Anolis sagrei: one gene and its partner. The protein of the gene in region 1 binds, or shares a complex with, the protein of each later gene. Links are inferred from orthologs where the notes say so. Each region holds a gene or a part of one and is shown on either strand. Other genes may lie near its edges.

What was found.
Region 2: the proteins of KPNB1 (region 1) and PTHLH are in contact, whole or in part, in a crystal structure (PDB 1M5N), measured with the Homo sapiens proteins. The link is inferred for Anolis sagrei from reciprocal best matches to the Homo sapiens genes KPNB1 and PTHLH. Residues at the interface, in NP_002256.2 of Homo sapiens: Val55, Tyr104, Pro106, Gln111, Glu152, Tyr156, Gln159, Asn196, Leu199, Asn200, Gln239, Glu274, Gln278, Glu281, Asp288, Ile295, Ser298, Glu299, Asp339, Asp340, Trp342, Val350, Met353, Glu395, Trp430, Arg434, Glu437, Asn469, Trp472; in NP_945316.1 of Homo sapiens: Tyr103, Thr105, Gln106, Glu107, Thr108, Asn109, Lys110, Val111, Glu112, Thr113, Tyr114, Lys120, Thr121, Pro122, Gly123, Lys124, Lys125, Lys126, Lys127, Lys129.

Annotation. Positions count from the first base shown.
Region 1 is NC_090026.1:34,784,723-34,793,059, reverse strand, and holds the start of KPNB1 (importin subunit beta-1), read left to right. Parts: upstream 1-4,884; 5' UTR 4,885-5,304; coding exon 5,305-5,344; intron 5,345-8,337.
Region 2 is NC_090025.1:102,554,264-102,561,986, reverse strand, and holds the start of PTHLH (parathyroid hormone-related protein), read left to right. Parts: upstream 1-4,545; 5' UTR 4,546-4,733; intron 4,734-7,723. UniProt on the Homo sapiens protein: Neuroendocrine peptide which is a critical regulator of cellular and organ growth, development, migration, differentiation and survival and of epithelial calcium ion transport.

The DNA.
Region 1 (8,337 bases):
CCCTGGGACCACACACACAGCCTAAAGCCGTTTCTCTACAGCTCAGTCTCATCCAGACCTCCAGCCCAAACTTTGGGGAGAAGATGACAAAAGAAGGCAAACTGGAGCTCCTAGAAGGAATTGTGTGAGTTGGAGTCCAAAACACCTGGAGGGTCAAAGTTTGCCCATGCCTGCTCTAAAGGGATCTCGACCAACTTGACATTAATGGCAAATGTGGCGCAGTGTAAATAGCCTGTAGGTCTAAGTGTCCTCACAACAATCATGCAACATACACAAATAATATTTGTTAATAGTTTGCATTTCAAAATCAAAAGTAGACTTCATACTTCCATATTATCTTTTGGGCATTCATGTCACTCCTGAGGATTTGGAGGCTACTATTGGCCTCTGGAGACCCCCAAGTTGCCCATTCCTGGTATAGATAGTACATTCTGAGGCCCCTTCCACACGGCTGAATCAAATCCCACATGTATCTGGTCTGAAACAGAATATATGGCAGTGTGAACTCAGATAACCCAGTTCAAAGAAAATACTGTGGGATTTTCTGCCTTGATATTCTGGGTTAAATTACTTCAAAATTTCCCCAAATTGGCTGCACTGTGTGCATCATGTGAACATCACGAGAAATGACAAAAATCTTGGAAATATATGTTATTATATATCCTCTCCACAGGATCGTAACACATCCTGGGCAGTGTCTTTGTAGACGGCTGATTCTCTCACACCTGAAGCGACCTTATCATAGAATCATAGAGTTGGAAGAGACCTCATGGGCCATCCAGTCCAACCCCCTGCCTAGAAGCAGGAATTTTGCATTCAAAGCACCCCTGACAGATGGCCATCCAGCCTCTGTTTAACCTTAGAAATCATATATTTTAAAAATATATAAATGAGACTTTTTGTGATATCTCACGTCCCCACACATTTCGTCATAATGTATGTATAGATCCAACTTTTTTATAAGGTTTAATGTCAGATTTGCTAGTAAAACTTAATTATTGTCACAAAACGATGCAATGTCTGAAAAGTATGTTACCATGAAATGCTTGGAAAGCTCTGCTCTGTACACACACACACACACACGGGCAAACAATGAGACATTAAAAGGAAATAAAAACAGTGACACTTGCAGAATTTGAAGATTAAGTACATATAATTCTGCAAGTGTCACTGTTTTTATTTCCTTTTAATGTCTCATTGATTGATATATGATAGCATGATAAAATAGAAATGCGGACTTTACATATTTGTGTGATAGTGGGATAACAAAATTAGCACTTAAATGTCTTTGGATAGAAAGATTGAAAGCCATTTTTTAAATTATTTCAATTAGGAAGTAAGGGACAACTTTAGAATTTTACAGAGTAATGTAGTGTAAGTAATGCCACAGGATATCCCCAGAGTCACCATATATTGTAGCTAAATGTACCTTTTTTTTTTTAGAAAACATTCATTACAAAATTCTTCTGATATAATGTGTGTGTGTGTGAATTTTTCCTATGTGTTCCGTCGCCACTGGGCCTATAATTAATTGACTTTAGATATAGGATGTGTAACCTTTACTCAGCGGGAGGCCAGGGGCCTTAAGGAAATGTTCTCAGAGGCTTTCCTTACAAAAGGAATCTTCAGATGACTTAAAAAGGTACAACAAAGTCTTTTATTAAGGAATCTAACAGGAATTGTAAAGCTTTCAAGGTATCAGTTCTCTCAAACTTGTTCGCAAGGAACAGGCACTGTCTTCTGTAACTTTCTTTAAAGGAAAATTCCCCTTTTTTAACTTCTCCCAAGGCTAACTATGAATCCAAACCTCACTGGTGTGGGCTCCTCTGCCAGGCCGAACTGAGAGGACCTACCAGAAAGGCAATGGATTTGCTCCGGCTGGAGTTCTTTCGAGTTTAAGGCTGTCTTCCTGGAAACTCCCAAAGCTGTAGGAAGGCTTCTCTGGAGTTCTTTTCCTGGAGATTCTGTTAAACTCTGCAACCCTGGAATTTCTTAAAGCTTGAAGCCTTTGTACAGGGGAAGTCAAACACATCCTATACATTGGCTAAGCTGGCTGAGACTGACTGGAAATGGCTCTCTTTCCTCCAAAACCTAAGAAGGGGGCGGAACCAGGAAACCCAATGATAATTGACAGGTGGCTTACCCTATGATTGCAGCCTATAACAGGAAGCCACCCTGCTGCAAAATCCCAAGCCTGGGATTGCAAACAAACATTAACTGCAAAGCAAACAAAATAGGAGCTCCTGGTACAGCTGTACCAGCACTATGTGTAGATATGTATAACATTTTTTGGATTTTTTATTAGTTTATATACGTAGATCATAACATTACATATTCGCATTATGCGGGGGGAAGTAAAATAAAGTTATTTAACATATTTAGTCATACCATTCTAGCCTGTGCTGTAATCTTAACATCTTACGGGGGGGGGGGGGGGGGTGTTAGCTGACCCTGATTTTTTTTCTTGCATGGAATTTCCTTGTTTTTGAGTGTTCTTCTTTATTTAGTACTCTCATTTTAGAGATTTTTTAAAATACTCGTAGCCAGATTTTGTGCATTTTTGTAATTTCCTCCTTTCTGTTGAAAGGAAGCAGCCACGCTTTGAAGCTGCAAGGCTATTCAAGGTGATCAGTGGCAACATTCCCACTTGCCTCAAACAGACAAGAGTTCTTTCTCCCACCTTGGACATTCCACAGATATATAAACACAATTTTCCTAGTTTCCAACAGACCTCACAACTTCTGAGGATGCCAGCCATAGATGTGGACGAAACGTCAGGAGAAAATACTTCTGGAACATGGCCACTCCGCAATCCAGTGATTCCGGCCATGAAAGCCTTCTTCTTTTCTTTTCTTCTTCTTTTTTTTTGTTGTGTCAGGAGCGATTTGAGAAATTGCAAGTCGCTTCTGGTGTGAGAGAATTGGGTGTCTGCAAGGACGTTGCCCAGGGGACACCCGGATGATCTCGATGTTTTTATCATCCTTGTGGGAGGCTTCTCTCATGTCCCCGCATGAGGAGTTGGAGTTGATAGAGCTCATCCGCCTCTCCCCGGAATCGAAGCTGCGACCAGTCGGTCTTCAGTCCTGCTGGCACAGGGATTTAACCCACTGCACCACTGAGGACTCCATTTTATTTATTTGTTTGTTTGTTTGTTTGTTTGTTTATCGTGTCAGGGGCAGACCAAACAGCTGCATTGCATTTTTTAACAAAAAACAAACAAATAGACAAAACACAAAGTTTGCAGGCTTGGTATTCTATTAAATGTTCTTTGACCAGTAGCTGGCCACTTGGAGTGCCTCTGGTGTTGCCGCAAGGAGGTCCTCCATTGTGCATGTGGCAGGGCTCAGGTTGCATTGCAGCAAGTGGTCTGTAGTCTGCTCTTCTCCACAGTTGCATGTCGTGGATTCCACTTTGTGGCCCCATTTCTTAAGGTTGGCTCTGCATCTCGTGGTGCCAGAGCGCAGTCTGTTCAGCACCTTCCAAGTCGCCCAGTCTTCTGAGTGCCCAGGGGGGAGTCTCTCATTTGGTATCAGCCATTGGTTGAGGTTCTGGGTTTGAGCCTGCCACTTTTGGACTCTTGCTTACTGGGATGTTCCAGCAAGTGTCTCTGTAGATCTTAGAAAACTATGTCTTGATTTAAGTCGTTGACGTGCTGGCTGATACCCAAACAGGGGATGAGCTGGAGATGTCACTGCCTTGGTCCTTTCACTATTGGTTGCTACTTCCCGGCAGATGTCAGGTGGTGCAATACCGGCTAAGCAGTTTAATTTCTCTAATGGTGTAGTAAACGCAGACACCCCGTGATAATGCAGCATGTTTCATTAAGAGCCACATCCACTGTTTTAGCGTGGTGAGATGTGTTCCACACTGGGCATGCATACTCAGCAGCAGATGTGGGCGAAATGTCAGAAGAGAATGCTTCTGGAACATGGCCACACCGCTACCCATGAAAGCCTTCAACAAGACATTATTCAGGGAGACTGAGATGTTGACAAGCTGGAATGTGTCCAGAGGAGGGTGACTAAAATGATCAGGGGTCTGGAGAACAAGCCCTATGAGGAGCGACTTAAAGAGCTGGGCATGTTTAGCCTGAAGAAGAGAAGGCTGAGAGGAGACATGATATCCATGTATAAATACATGAGAGGAAGTCATAGGGAGGAGGGAGCAAGCTTGTTTTCTGCTTCCTTGGAAACTAGGACGCGGAACAATGGCTTCAAACTACAAGAAAGGAGATTCCATCTGAACATTAGGAAGAACTTCCTGACTGTGAAAGCCATTCAGTAGTGGAACTCTCTGCTTGGGGGTGTGGTGGAGTCTCCTTCTTTGGAGGCTTTTAAACAGAGGCTGGATGGCCATCTGTCGGGGGTGCTTTGAATGCAATATTCCTGCTTCTTGGCAGGGGGTTGGACTGGATGGCCCATGAGGTCTCTTCCAACTCTTTGATTCTATGATTCTATAATTATGTGTAAGAAATCCAAATCCCATGTGTCCTCTTGACCTGCATTTACTGCTAGGTGGCCATCTGTCAGGGGTGCTTTGAATGCAATATTCCTGCTTCTTGGCAGGGGGTTGGGCTGGATGGCCCATGAGGTCTAGTCTCTTCCAACTCTAGGATTCTATGACTATTTAAAAAAACTGCGCCGGGTTGGATGTTGGCTGGCGTTCGACCAATAAGCGGCCGAAGCGGAGCATGACAGACAGGCAACGACGGGGTTGAGAGGCGGGGCTAAGAGCTGTCATTGGTTCCGTGCGTGAGCACGCTCGCCTCCTTTTTACGCCAACGGACGTTGACGTGACTGAAGGCCTCGTTGGAGTCAGTCAAACAAGGGAGAGGGAAGACGCATGAGGGAGGGGAGGGGAGGCAGGCGCGCGCATGCGCACTCGCACTTGAGTTCCTCTCCCTCTCCTCCCCATTCGGACTAGCTTCACCTCGCCGCGCGCGCCTTTTTCCCCTCCTCCCTCCCTCCCTCCTTCCTTCCTTCCTTTCCCCTCTTCCGGTTGGGGAGGGGGAGGGGAAGTAGTAGAAGAGAGGTCGAGGCGCTTCCGGCGGGCGGGCAGGCAGGCAAGCAAGCGGGCGGGGGTGGGGCCGCCCCGCAACTGAGGGGGAAGAAGAAGGAGGAGGAGGAGGAGGAAAGCGCGCGAGAAGGAGGCAGGCACACGCAGAGACCAACGGGCCGTCGAACTACTGAGGCGGCGGCGGCGGCAGCAGATTCCCGCCTCGGCCTCTCTCCCCTCTCTCCCTCTCCCCCCTTTCCTTCCTTTCCCTCCCAGTTTTTACCTCACGCTGCCGCCGCCTGCGCCGTCATGGAGCTCATTACTATCTTGGAGAAGACCGTCTCGCCAGGTAAAAGGGGCAAAGAAGGCCAGGAGGGAAGAAGGGAGCCCATATGGGGAATGGGGAAGGGAGGCCGTTGGGCACCGGCTCCCTTCGGAACGCGGGAAGAAAAAGCCCCAAAGCTCAAGGAAGGCCGTTGGAAGGGAGGCGAGGAAAGTAGCCAAAGGGGAAGGAAGGAAGGGAGGAGGAAGGCCTTGTAAGGACCGGCTCGCTCGCTCGCTCGCTCGCTCGCTCGCTCTCAACGTGGAAGTGGCTGAGGCCCAGCGTGGCGAGCAGTCGCGTGGGAATTGGGATCATGGTCCCCCCTCCCCTTCCATACGATTCTGAGCACAAAGAGGCCTCTTTCCTGGATCTTGTTGGGGGCCATTCCTGGTGTTGATGACACGTGTTTGGGGAATGCGGGGTGGTGGAGGATTCGATGCCCAAAACGAGAGAAGTGGGAAGGTTGGGGAGGGGAGAGTCTGGCTTAGGCCCCTTCCACACAGCTGTATAAAATCCCACAATATCTGCTTTGAACTGTGTTATAAGGCAGTGTGGACTCAGGGCCCCTCCACACAGCCATATAGCACAGAACATCAGGGCACAAAATCCCACAATGTCTATTTTGAACTGGGTTATTTCAGGGCCTTTCACACAACCCTATATCCCAGAACATCAGGGTAGAAAATCCCACATTATCTATTTTGAACTGGGTTATTTCAGGGCCTTCCACACAGCCCTATATCCCACGATATCAGGGTAGAAAATTCCACATTATCTATTTTGAACTGGGTTATTTCAGGGCCCTTCCACACAACCCCATATCCCAGGATATCAGAACATCAATTTTGAACTGGGTTATCTCAGGGCCCTTCCACACAGCCCTATGTCCCAGGATATCAGGGTAGAAAATCCCATAATATGTATTTTGAATTGGGTTATTTCAGGGCCCTTCCACACAGCCCTATATCCCAGGATATCAGGGCAGAAAATCCCAGAATATAGTTTGAACTGGGTTATCTCAGGGCCCTTCCACACAGCCCTAAATCCCAGAATATCTATTTTGAACTGGGTTATCTCAGGGCTCTTCCACACAGCCCTATATCCCAGGATATCAAGGCAGGAAATCCCACAATATCTGCTTTGAACTGGGTTATCTGAGTCCACACTCAGATAATTGGGAATTTCCTATCTTGATATTCTGGGATATAGGACTGTGTGGAGGGCCTGAGACCACACTGCCATATATTGCAAAGCAGATAATCTGGGATTTTATTCAGCTATGTGGAGGGGACCTCAGATAACCCAATCCAAAGTAGATATGTGGGCTATCTGCCTTGATGTTCAGGATTATATGGCTGTGTGGAAGGGTCCTCAAAGGTTCTCTGTGGCCTGTGGCAGGACCCTGGGTGGGGCGGATTTCTCTCTCTATCTCTCCCCCCTCCCTTCCTTGTTCTCAGCATATGGCCGTGGGGCAAAGCTGCTACTTCTGTCAGGAAGTTGAAGGAGTTGCACATTGCATCCTTAAAATGGTCAAGAAAGAGGTCCAATGTCTACCTTTGTATATAACAAAAGAGTTGGGGTTTTTTAAATCAAAGTCATTCACACGTGTCCTCCAGAGTTTTCTTTGAGGGCCCGAAGCCCTTCCACACAGCCCTATATCTCACAATATCAAGGCAGAAAATCCCACATTATCTGATTGTGGACTCAGATAACTCATGTCAAAGCAGATATTGGGGGATTTTCTGCCTTAATATTCTGGGATATAGGGCTGTGCGGAAGGGCCTTTGGTTTCCCAGGCATTGATCTATGATTGTGGCCCTTTCTACATGCCTGTATAAAATCCACATAAAACTGGATTATATGATTGTGTAATAATAATAATGATCATAATAATTTTATTATTCTATCCCGCCACCACCTCCCCGGAAGGGCTTGGGGTGGCTTATATGGGGGCCATGCACAACAAAAACAGAATAAAATATAGCACAATTAAAATACATTGCATATGGCAGTGTAGGCGCAAACAACCCAATTCAAAGCAGATATTGTGAATTACCTGCCCCAATATGGCTGTGTGGAAGGGCCCTGTGTTAGGAGTGGAGCCCAGGCCGTGGCTGAAGGCCATCTCTCCCAAACGACCTGCCCCATATTTCCAAAGAGGTCTTCTTTGTCAAATCAGTGGGCCTAGCGGCCTAGCATGTAGGATGGGGTGGCAAAGCTCTTCCTCTCTGGGCGCTTCCACACAGCCATATAACCCAGAAAATCCCTCATTATCTGAGCGTGGACTCAGATAACCTAGTTCAAAGCAGATATTGTGGGATTTTCTGTCTTGATATTCTGGGATATAGGACTGTGTGGAAGGGCCCTAAGTTCACACTGCCATATAACGTTTTAACATTTCACCTCATACATCTGGCCCGCCCTCTGTGTTTGATTTTATTTGTTATTTTATATTTTTGTTATGTACTTTCTTGTTATTTTGTGTTTAATTATGTTGTATTATTTTGGGCCTGGCCTCATGTCAGCCGCCCCGAGTCCCCTTTGAGGAGATGGTGGCGGGTTATAAATAATAATGTTGTGGGATTTCCTGCCTTGATACTCTGGGTTATATGGCTGGACTCTGATTCAGGGGAATTTTTAATATATTTTTCCTGTTTCTTCATTTCTTGAGAGTGGAACACAAGACTCCCCAAATATCTTTTTGTACTCTTCATTATTATTATTATTATTATCCCAGTTCAAAGTAGGTGTTGTGGGATTTCCTGCCTTGATACTCTGGGTTATATGGCTGTGTGGAAGGGCTCTTCTGATTCAGGAGAATTGTTTATATATTTTCCCGTTTCTTCATTTCTTGATGAGAGTGGAACACAAGACTCCCCAAATATCTTTTTGTATTCTTCATTATTGATATTATTATCCCAGTTGAAAGCAGATGTGGGATTTCCTGCCTTGATACTCTGGGTTATATGGCTGTGTGGAGAATTGTTTATATATTTTCCCCCCAAATATCTTTTTGTACT
Region 2 (7,723 bases), on another chromosome or scaffold:
CCTCTAGGAAATAAAGCCCGGCTGCTCATTGGAGGGAAGGATACTAGAGACAAAGCTGAAGTAATGTATTGTCGAAGGCTTTCATGGCTGGAATCATTCAGTTCTTGTGGGGTTTTTCGGACTATATGGCCATGTTCTAGAGGCATTTCTCCTGACGTTTCGCCTGCATCTATGGCAAGCATCCTCAGAGCTGAGGTCTGAAGTACTTTGGCCACATCATGAGGAGACAGCAAAGCCTAGAGAAGACAATTATGCTGGGGAAAGTGGAAGGCAAAAGGAAGAGGGGCCGACCAAGGGCAAGATGGATGGACGGCATCCTTGAAGTGACTGGACTGACCTTGAAGGAGCTGGGGGTGGTGACGGCCGACAGGGAGCTCTGGTGTGGGCTGGTCCATGAGGTCACGAAGAGTCGGAGACGACTGAACGAATGAGCAACAACAACATTTACAGGCCCAACGCGCGACAGAACATGAGTCCTTTGTCCCACCCTGGTCATTCCAGAAATATATAAACCCATTTTCCTAGTTCAAACAGACCTCACTACCACTGAGGATGCTTGCCATAGATGCAGGCGAAACGTCAGGAGAGAATGCCTCTAGACCATGGCCATATAGCCCGAAAAAACCTACAACAACCCAATATTACAAACTACAAAAGGGCGAGAGGTGTTTGCAGAATCCTATTGTGCAAAAGTAGGTGCTTCCCAAGGCTTACCCAATGAAGTGACATGTCCTGACCACTGTCAAAGCCTCTTTGAGCGCACTCACTAACGCCTCCCCTCACAGGCGTTGCTAACTTCGAAGAGGCCTTCGCGCGGGTCCCTCCGCTGGGCATGTGTGGGCGCGCGCCTCTGCCCCGCAGCACGTGACGTCACGAGGCCGCGACAGGGAACGAGGGAAACCAAGGCCGAGGCACGCGCCTGTGTCCTGTGGGCCACCATGGACAGCTCACCGTCCTGGGCCCGCCCTCCAGGCCACCCGCCGGCCTTCAAGGCAAGGCAAACAGCTCCGCAAGGAGACAACCCGGTCCTGTTTTTTCCCCGCCTGGACTTCCGCCAGGCTTCCCCAGCGCGTGCCAGCAGCATTCACCACGGAGCTATATATAGAAGGAAACAGACTTTATGAATTAAATAACTGAATCCTTGCCCTCTTCGAAATTGAAAGTCAATCTAAAGGGGGGAAACGAGGGGGAGGGAGGGAGGGAGGAGAGAGACACACACAGAGCCTGCTCGAGTCTAAGAAGCAGGCTGCAAGTTTGGCAAAACATCCTTCGCTTGGTTGTTGTTTTTTCTTTCTTTCGCGAAAAAGAGATAAAAGAGGAGCAGCTCCGACGGGTCGAACCTGCTCGTGGAGCTCAGCGGTAGAGTTGAGTTGGAGGCAAAGATGGGATCGGGAGGCAAAAATATAAACACAATGCCAAAGGGGGAAGCGGCTCCCAGTTCCAAGGAGCAATGGCATCAAACTAAAGGAAAGGAGATTCCACCTGAACATGAGAAAGAACTTCCTGACTGTGAGAGCTGTTCAGCAGTGGAACTCTCTGCCCCGGAGTGTGGTGGAGACTTTGAAACAGAGGCTGGATGGCCATCTGTTGGGGGTGCTTTGAATGCTGTTGGGGGTTAGACTGGATGGCCCATGAGCAGACATGTAGCGGGGGGGGGGCGCTTTGGGGGCTTCAGCCCCCCCCCCCCCAAATTCTCATGGTGGCCCGCGAAAAGGCCTTACTGGTGCATTATTTAAACTGTTATGTTTATTCATATCATGATCTGATCACCATACTCAATATATCCCATATGCATGGGGGTATTGGGGTAACAATACAAAAGGTTTGCTAGGGTAAACACTCTTTCACTCAGACTCAGCCCCCCCCCCCGAATCAAACTCAGCCAGCCCCCCTCCCCCCCCCCCCCCCGAAACAAAATCCTGGCTACTGGCCTGCCCATGAGGTCTCTTCCAACTCTATGATTCTACTAGCCGTCCCCTGCCAGGCGTTGCTGTGGCCCAGTCTGGTGATCTGGAAAACAAAGTAATGAGAAAGTGTTGGTGTCTAATATATGTAATTTCTTTATGTTTGTGGGTAAACAGTATTTCTTGCTGTTTCTTTGTCAGTATTGATGTGGAGATTGTCTGGTTTGCCTACTCTGGAACATGCAACATATAATTGTCCTTCTTTAGGGGTCCCTTTCAAATCTAGGATACTATATCTGTGTGTGTGTGTGAATCATATATATCTATCTATATCTATGGCTGGATGGCTGTTTGTCAGGAGGGCTTTGATTATGTTTTCTTGCCCTAGTGAAGGGAGTTGGACTGGATGGCCTTAAGTTTGGGGGTTCTGTGTGGGAAGTTTGCCCCAGTTCTGTTGTTGGTAGGGTTCAGAATGCTCTTTGATTGTAGGTGAACTATAAATCCCAGTAACGACAACTCCCAAATGTCAATGTCTATTTTCCCCAAACTCCATCTTTGTTCATATTTGGTCATATGGAATATTTGTGCCAAGTTTGGTCCAGATCCACAGTGCTCTCTGGATGTAGGTGAACTACTACTCCCAAACTCAAAGTCAATGCCCACCAAACCCTTCTACTGTATTCTGTTTGTCTTGGAAGTCCTGTGTGCCAAGTTTAGTTCAATTCCATCAATGGTGGGGTTCAGAATGCTCTTTGATTGTTGGCGAACTGTAAATCCCAGCAACTATAACTCCCAAATGACAAAATCCATTTTTTGAGTTATGGTCACTCGTTGGCCTGATAGGTGTATTGCTATGGCCCACATGGGGGTTTTGTGTGGGAGGTTTGGCCCTATTTCTATTGTTGCTGGGGTTCAGAATGCTGTGTGACTGTAGGTGAACTATAAATCCTGGCAACTACAACTCCCAAATGTCAAGATTCTATTTTTCCCAAACCCCACCAGTGTTCACATTTGGGCATATTGAGTATTCTTGTAGAGTTTGGTCCAGATCCATCATTGTTTGAGTCCACAGTGATCTCTGGATGTAGGTGAACTACAATTCCAAAACCAAAGGACACTGCCCACCAAACCCTTCCAGTATTTTCTGTTGGTCATGGAAGAACTGTGTGCCCAGTTTGGTTCAATTCCATTGTTGGTGGGGTTCAGAATGGTCTTTGATTGTAGGTGAACTATAAATCCCAGCAACTACAACTCCCAAATGACAAAATCGTAATTTTTTTGAGTGAAGGACATACATTGGGTTATTAGGTGCCTTGTGTCCAAATTTGGCGGCAATTTGTCCAGTGGTTTTTGAGTTATGTTAACCCCACAAACGAACATTACAATTTTATTTATTTAGATAGATAGATAGATAGATAAGGTAGGTAAAGGTAGTCCCCTGACATTAAGTCCAGTCATGTCTGACTCTGGGGTGTGGTGCTCATCTCCATTTCTAAGCCAAAGAGCCAGCGTTGTCCGTAGACACTTCCAAGGTCATGTGGCCAGCATGACTGCATGGAGCGCCGTTACCTTCCCGCCGGAGTGGAACCTATTGATCTACTCACATTTGCATGTTTTCGAACTGCTAGGTTGGCAGAAGCTAGGGCTGACAGCGGAAGCTCACGCCGCTCCCCGGAATCGAACCTGCGACCTTTTGATCAACAAGCTCAGCAGCTCAGTGCTTTAACCCACTGCGCTACCGGGGGCTCCCTAGATAGATAGATAGATAGATAGATTAGATAGATAGATTAGATAGATAGATTAGATAGCTAGCTAGCTAGATTAGCTAGATAGATTAGCTAGATAGATAGATTAGATAGATAGATAAGATAGATAGATAAGATAGATAGATAAGATAGATAGATAGATAAGATAGATAGATAGATAGATGAGGGCTTTTGCAACCCCGCTCCGTGGAGATCGAAGCAGAAACAGGCAAGCCCACTCAGATCTCTGTGGAGAGCTCTTTCCAGCTCAATGTGGACCGTTATTTGGGAGTAAGTAGAGCTTCCCTTGAGGGAAGAGGTCGAGGCTTCCTGCCGAGCCCCTCCCCCCCTTTCCCTTCGAGGGCAGTTTCACAACTCGAGAGTGGCTCCCTCCCCGCAGTGCCAAGATTAGGAAATCAACAAAGACAGCCTTCCTCGGAAGTGAACGCTTGACAAACTCAGGCGTAAAATCAGATAAAGCGGTGCAAACTCGTGCCTCGGCACGTTGAGGGAAGGAAAGAAGGAAAGAAAGAGGAGGGAGACTTTGGAGCCTCTCTCACACTGAGGAGGAGCTTCGAGGTCCCAAGCACCCTTTGTGGACCACTTGGAGACCCCGAGGGGCGGGGACTCAGGTGAGGCGGCCAATGAGGCGACGAGGGCGTGGTTGGCTCATCTGCTTTGAGGCACGTGGCTCGCGCCGCCCAACCAGTCTCGCGCCCCTGGGCGCGCCTCGGAGAGCCCGCGTGAGCGTCACGTGACGGGAGGACAACCCCAGCGCGCGGGCTCGACGTCTTTGGCGAGTCAACCCAAAAAGGGGAATCTCCCCCCACCACTCTCTCTCACCCCCTCCTTTTCCTCGCTTCCCTTATATAGGAAGAGACTCCCTCTCGGAGCCTTCACTGAGGCAACAGGGAGGCGGGAAGGAAGCAACTGCTTCATCGTTATGACAGAAAGGAGTCAAACCTAGAATCGGATTATTCGCTGCCACTGGCCTGTCAGAGAGAGAGAAAGAGAAGCAGAGAGGACCCCTAGAAGTGGGTGCTGCCCAGGAAACGGGGCTGACTTCTAGGAAGGCAAAGGAAAAGTAAGGCTTCGGGGTTGTCTTGTTTGTCTGGGTTTTGGTCGTGTCAGGAGCGACTTGAGAAACTGCAAGTCGCTTCTGGTGTGAGAGAATTGGCCGTCTGCAAGGACGTTGCCCAGGGAACGCCTGGATGATTTGATGTTTTTATCATCCTTGTGGGAGGCTTCTCTCATGTCCCCGCATGAGGAGCTGGAGCTGAATGAGGGAGCTCATCCTCCTCTCCCCATATTCGAACCTGCGACCTGTCGGTCTTTAGTCCTGCCAGCACAGGGGTCCTGCCAGCGTTTGTCTGGGTGCAAAACAACTATTCCAAGAGTGATGAGGTAGAATGTGGGGATTTGGGACCGGTGTGGCGCAGTGGGTTAAAGCACTGAGCTGCTGAGCTTGTTCACTAGAAACGTTAAAAAAGAATCTTAAAACCTGGCTCTTCCGCTGTACCTTTGGTGACCATGACATTTTGCACCCCCCAACGTTTTCTGCTACTGGATTGTGCACCCTCCAAATGGGAAGTTTAGCCTAACAACTCTGTGTTTTTATGAGTTTCCCGTAAATGTCCTGCTCCTATTTTATCTCATTACAGTCTTTTAATTGTTTTATCCTGTATATGCGGCCCACCCATTGTTATCGTTACTGTGATTGTCTTTATTACAATGTTATTTTATGATTGCCTTTTCCCCCTTCTCTTATGTAATTATGATGATGTTGTAGTTTGTTAGTTGTTTATGTTTTGATTTTATTGCTGTAATATGTTGTCCGGGCTTGGCCCCATGTAAGCCGCTCCGAGTGCCCACCGGGGAGATGGTGGCGGGGTATAAATAAAGTACTGAAGACCGACAGGTCACAGGTTCGAATCCGGGGAGAGCCGGATGAGCTCCCTCTATCAGCTCCAGCTCCTCATGCGAGGACATGGGAGAAGCCTCCCACAAGGATGATAAAACATCAAATCATCCAGGCGTCCCCTTGGCAACGTCCTTGCAGACGACCAATTCTTTCACGCCAGAAGCGACTTGTAGTTTCTCAAGTTGCTCCTGATACGACCAAAAAAAGTATTATTATTACGGACCAAAAGGTCACAGGTTCAAATCCGGAGAGCAGCACGAGCTTCCGCCATCAGCCCCAGCTTCTGCCAACCTAGCAGTTCATAAACATGCAAATGTGAGTAGATCAGTAGGTACCGCTCCAGCACTCCATGCAGTCATGCCGGCCAGATGACCTTGGAGGGGGGTCTATGGACAATGCCGGCTCTTCGGCTTAGAAATGGAGATGAGCACCACACGCCCAGAGTCGGACATGACTGGACTTAATGTCAGGGGAAAACCTTGGTGGTCCAGGATGGGGATTGAGGGAGTCCCTGTCTGTGGGCCTCCTCACAGGCAGCGCTTCTCTAAACAGCTCTGGCCCAAATAACCTGTCCGAACACATCTCCCCCTATGAACCATCACAGAGATCCTCCGGGGAGGCCCTGCTTTCTGTCCCGCCATTGTCACAGGCGCGATTGGTGGGGACGAGAGACAGGGCCTTCTCGGTGATTGCTCCCCGGCTATGGAACTCCCTTCCTGGTGAGATCTGGTCGGCCCCCTCCCTCCTGTTCTTTAGAAGGGTGGGAAAGACTTGGCTGTGGGACCAAGCTTTCGGGACAGGGCAATGAAACGACAATGGGAAAGATGACAGGGCCAATTGGATTTGATGCAGATGGCTAGGAAGGTTTTAAATGGTGTATTTAGTATTTTGATAAATGAGTTGTTGTAGGTTTTTCCGGGCTATATGGCCATGTTGTAGAGGCATTCTCTCCTGATGTTTTGCCTGCATCTATGGCAAGCATCCTCAGAGGTAGTGAGGTCTGTTGGAACTAGGAAAATGGGTTTATATATCATCATCATCATCATTTAATTACTTATTAATTGCCCTCCATCCAAGATGCTCTCTAGGCGATTTACAAGCTAAAATGGTAAAGGATAAAAATACATACAGATATTGATAAAATTAACATAGATCATATATCTGTGGAATGGCCAGGGTGGGATAAAGGACTCTTGTCTGCTGGAGCTAGGTGTGAATGTTTCAACTGACCACCTTGATTAGCATTTGATTAGATGTCCCTGATTGTTTTCCCTCTGTTGTTTTGCTGTTGTAATTTTAGAGGTTTTGAATACTGGTAGCCAGATTTTGTTCATTTTCATAGTTTCGTCCTTTCTGTTGAAATTGTCCACATGCATGTGGATTTCAGTGGCTTCTCTGTGTAGTCTGACATGGTGTTTGTGAGAGTGGTCCAGCATTTCCGTCTTCTCAAATAATATGCTGTGTCGGTTGGTTCATCAGGTGCTCTGCTACCAGGGACATCTAATCACCTCTCAACAAAAGATTGCCCCAGTCACTGCCAGGCCATCAAATGCTAATCAAGGTGGTCAGTTGAAACATTCACACCTAGCTCCAGCAGACAAGAGTTCTTTGTCCCACCCTGGTATTTATTTGTCGTGTCAGGGCAACCAGTCAGTTGTATTACATTTCTAACAGAACAAAACAAACAAACAGAAAAAAACACAAAATTTGCAAGTTTGGTAGTTGATTAAATGTCCTTTGACCAGTATCTGGCCACTTGGAGTGCTTCTGGTGTTGCCTCAAGAAGGTCCTCCATTGTGCATGTGGCAGGGCTCAGGGTGCATTGCAGCAGGTGGTCAGTGGTTTGCTCTCCTCCACACTTGCATATCGAGGATTCAACTTTGTAGCCCCATTTCTGAAGGTTGGCTCTGCATCTCGTGGTGCTAGAGCGCAATCTGTTCAGCGCCTTCCAAGTCGCCCAGTCTCCTGTGTGCCCGGGGGGGGGGGGGGGAAGGGAGTTTCTCATCTGGTATCACCCATGGATTGAGGTGCTGGGTTTGAGCCTGCCACTTTTGGACTCTCGCTTGCTGAGGTGTTCCAACCAGTGTCTCTGTAGATCTTAGAAAACTATTTCTTGATTTAAGTCGTTGAGGTGCTGGCTGATACCCAAACTG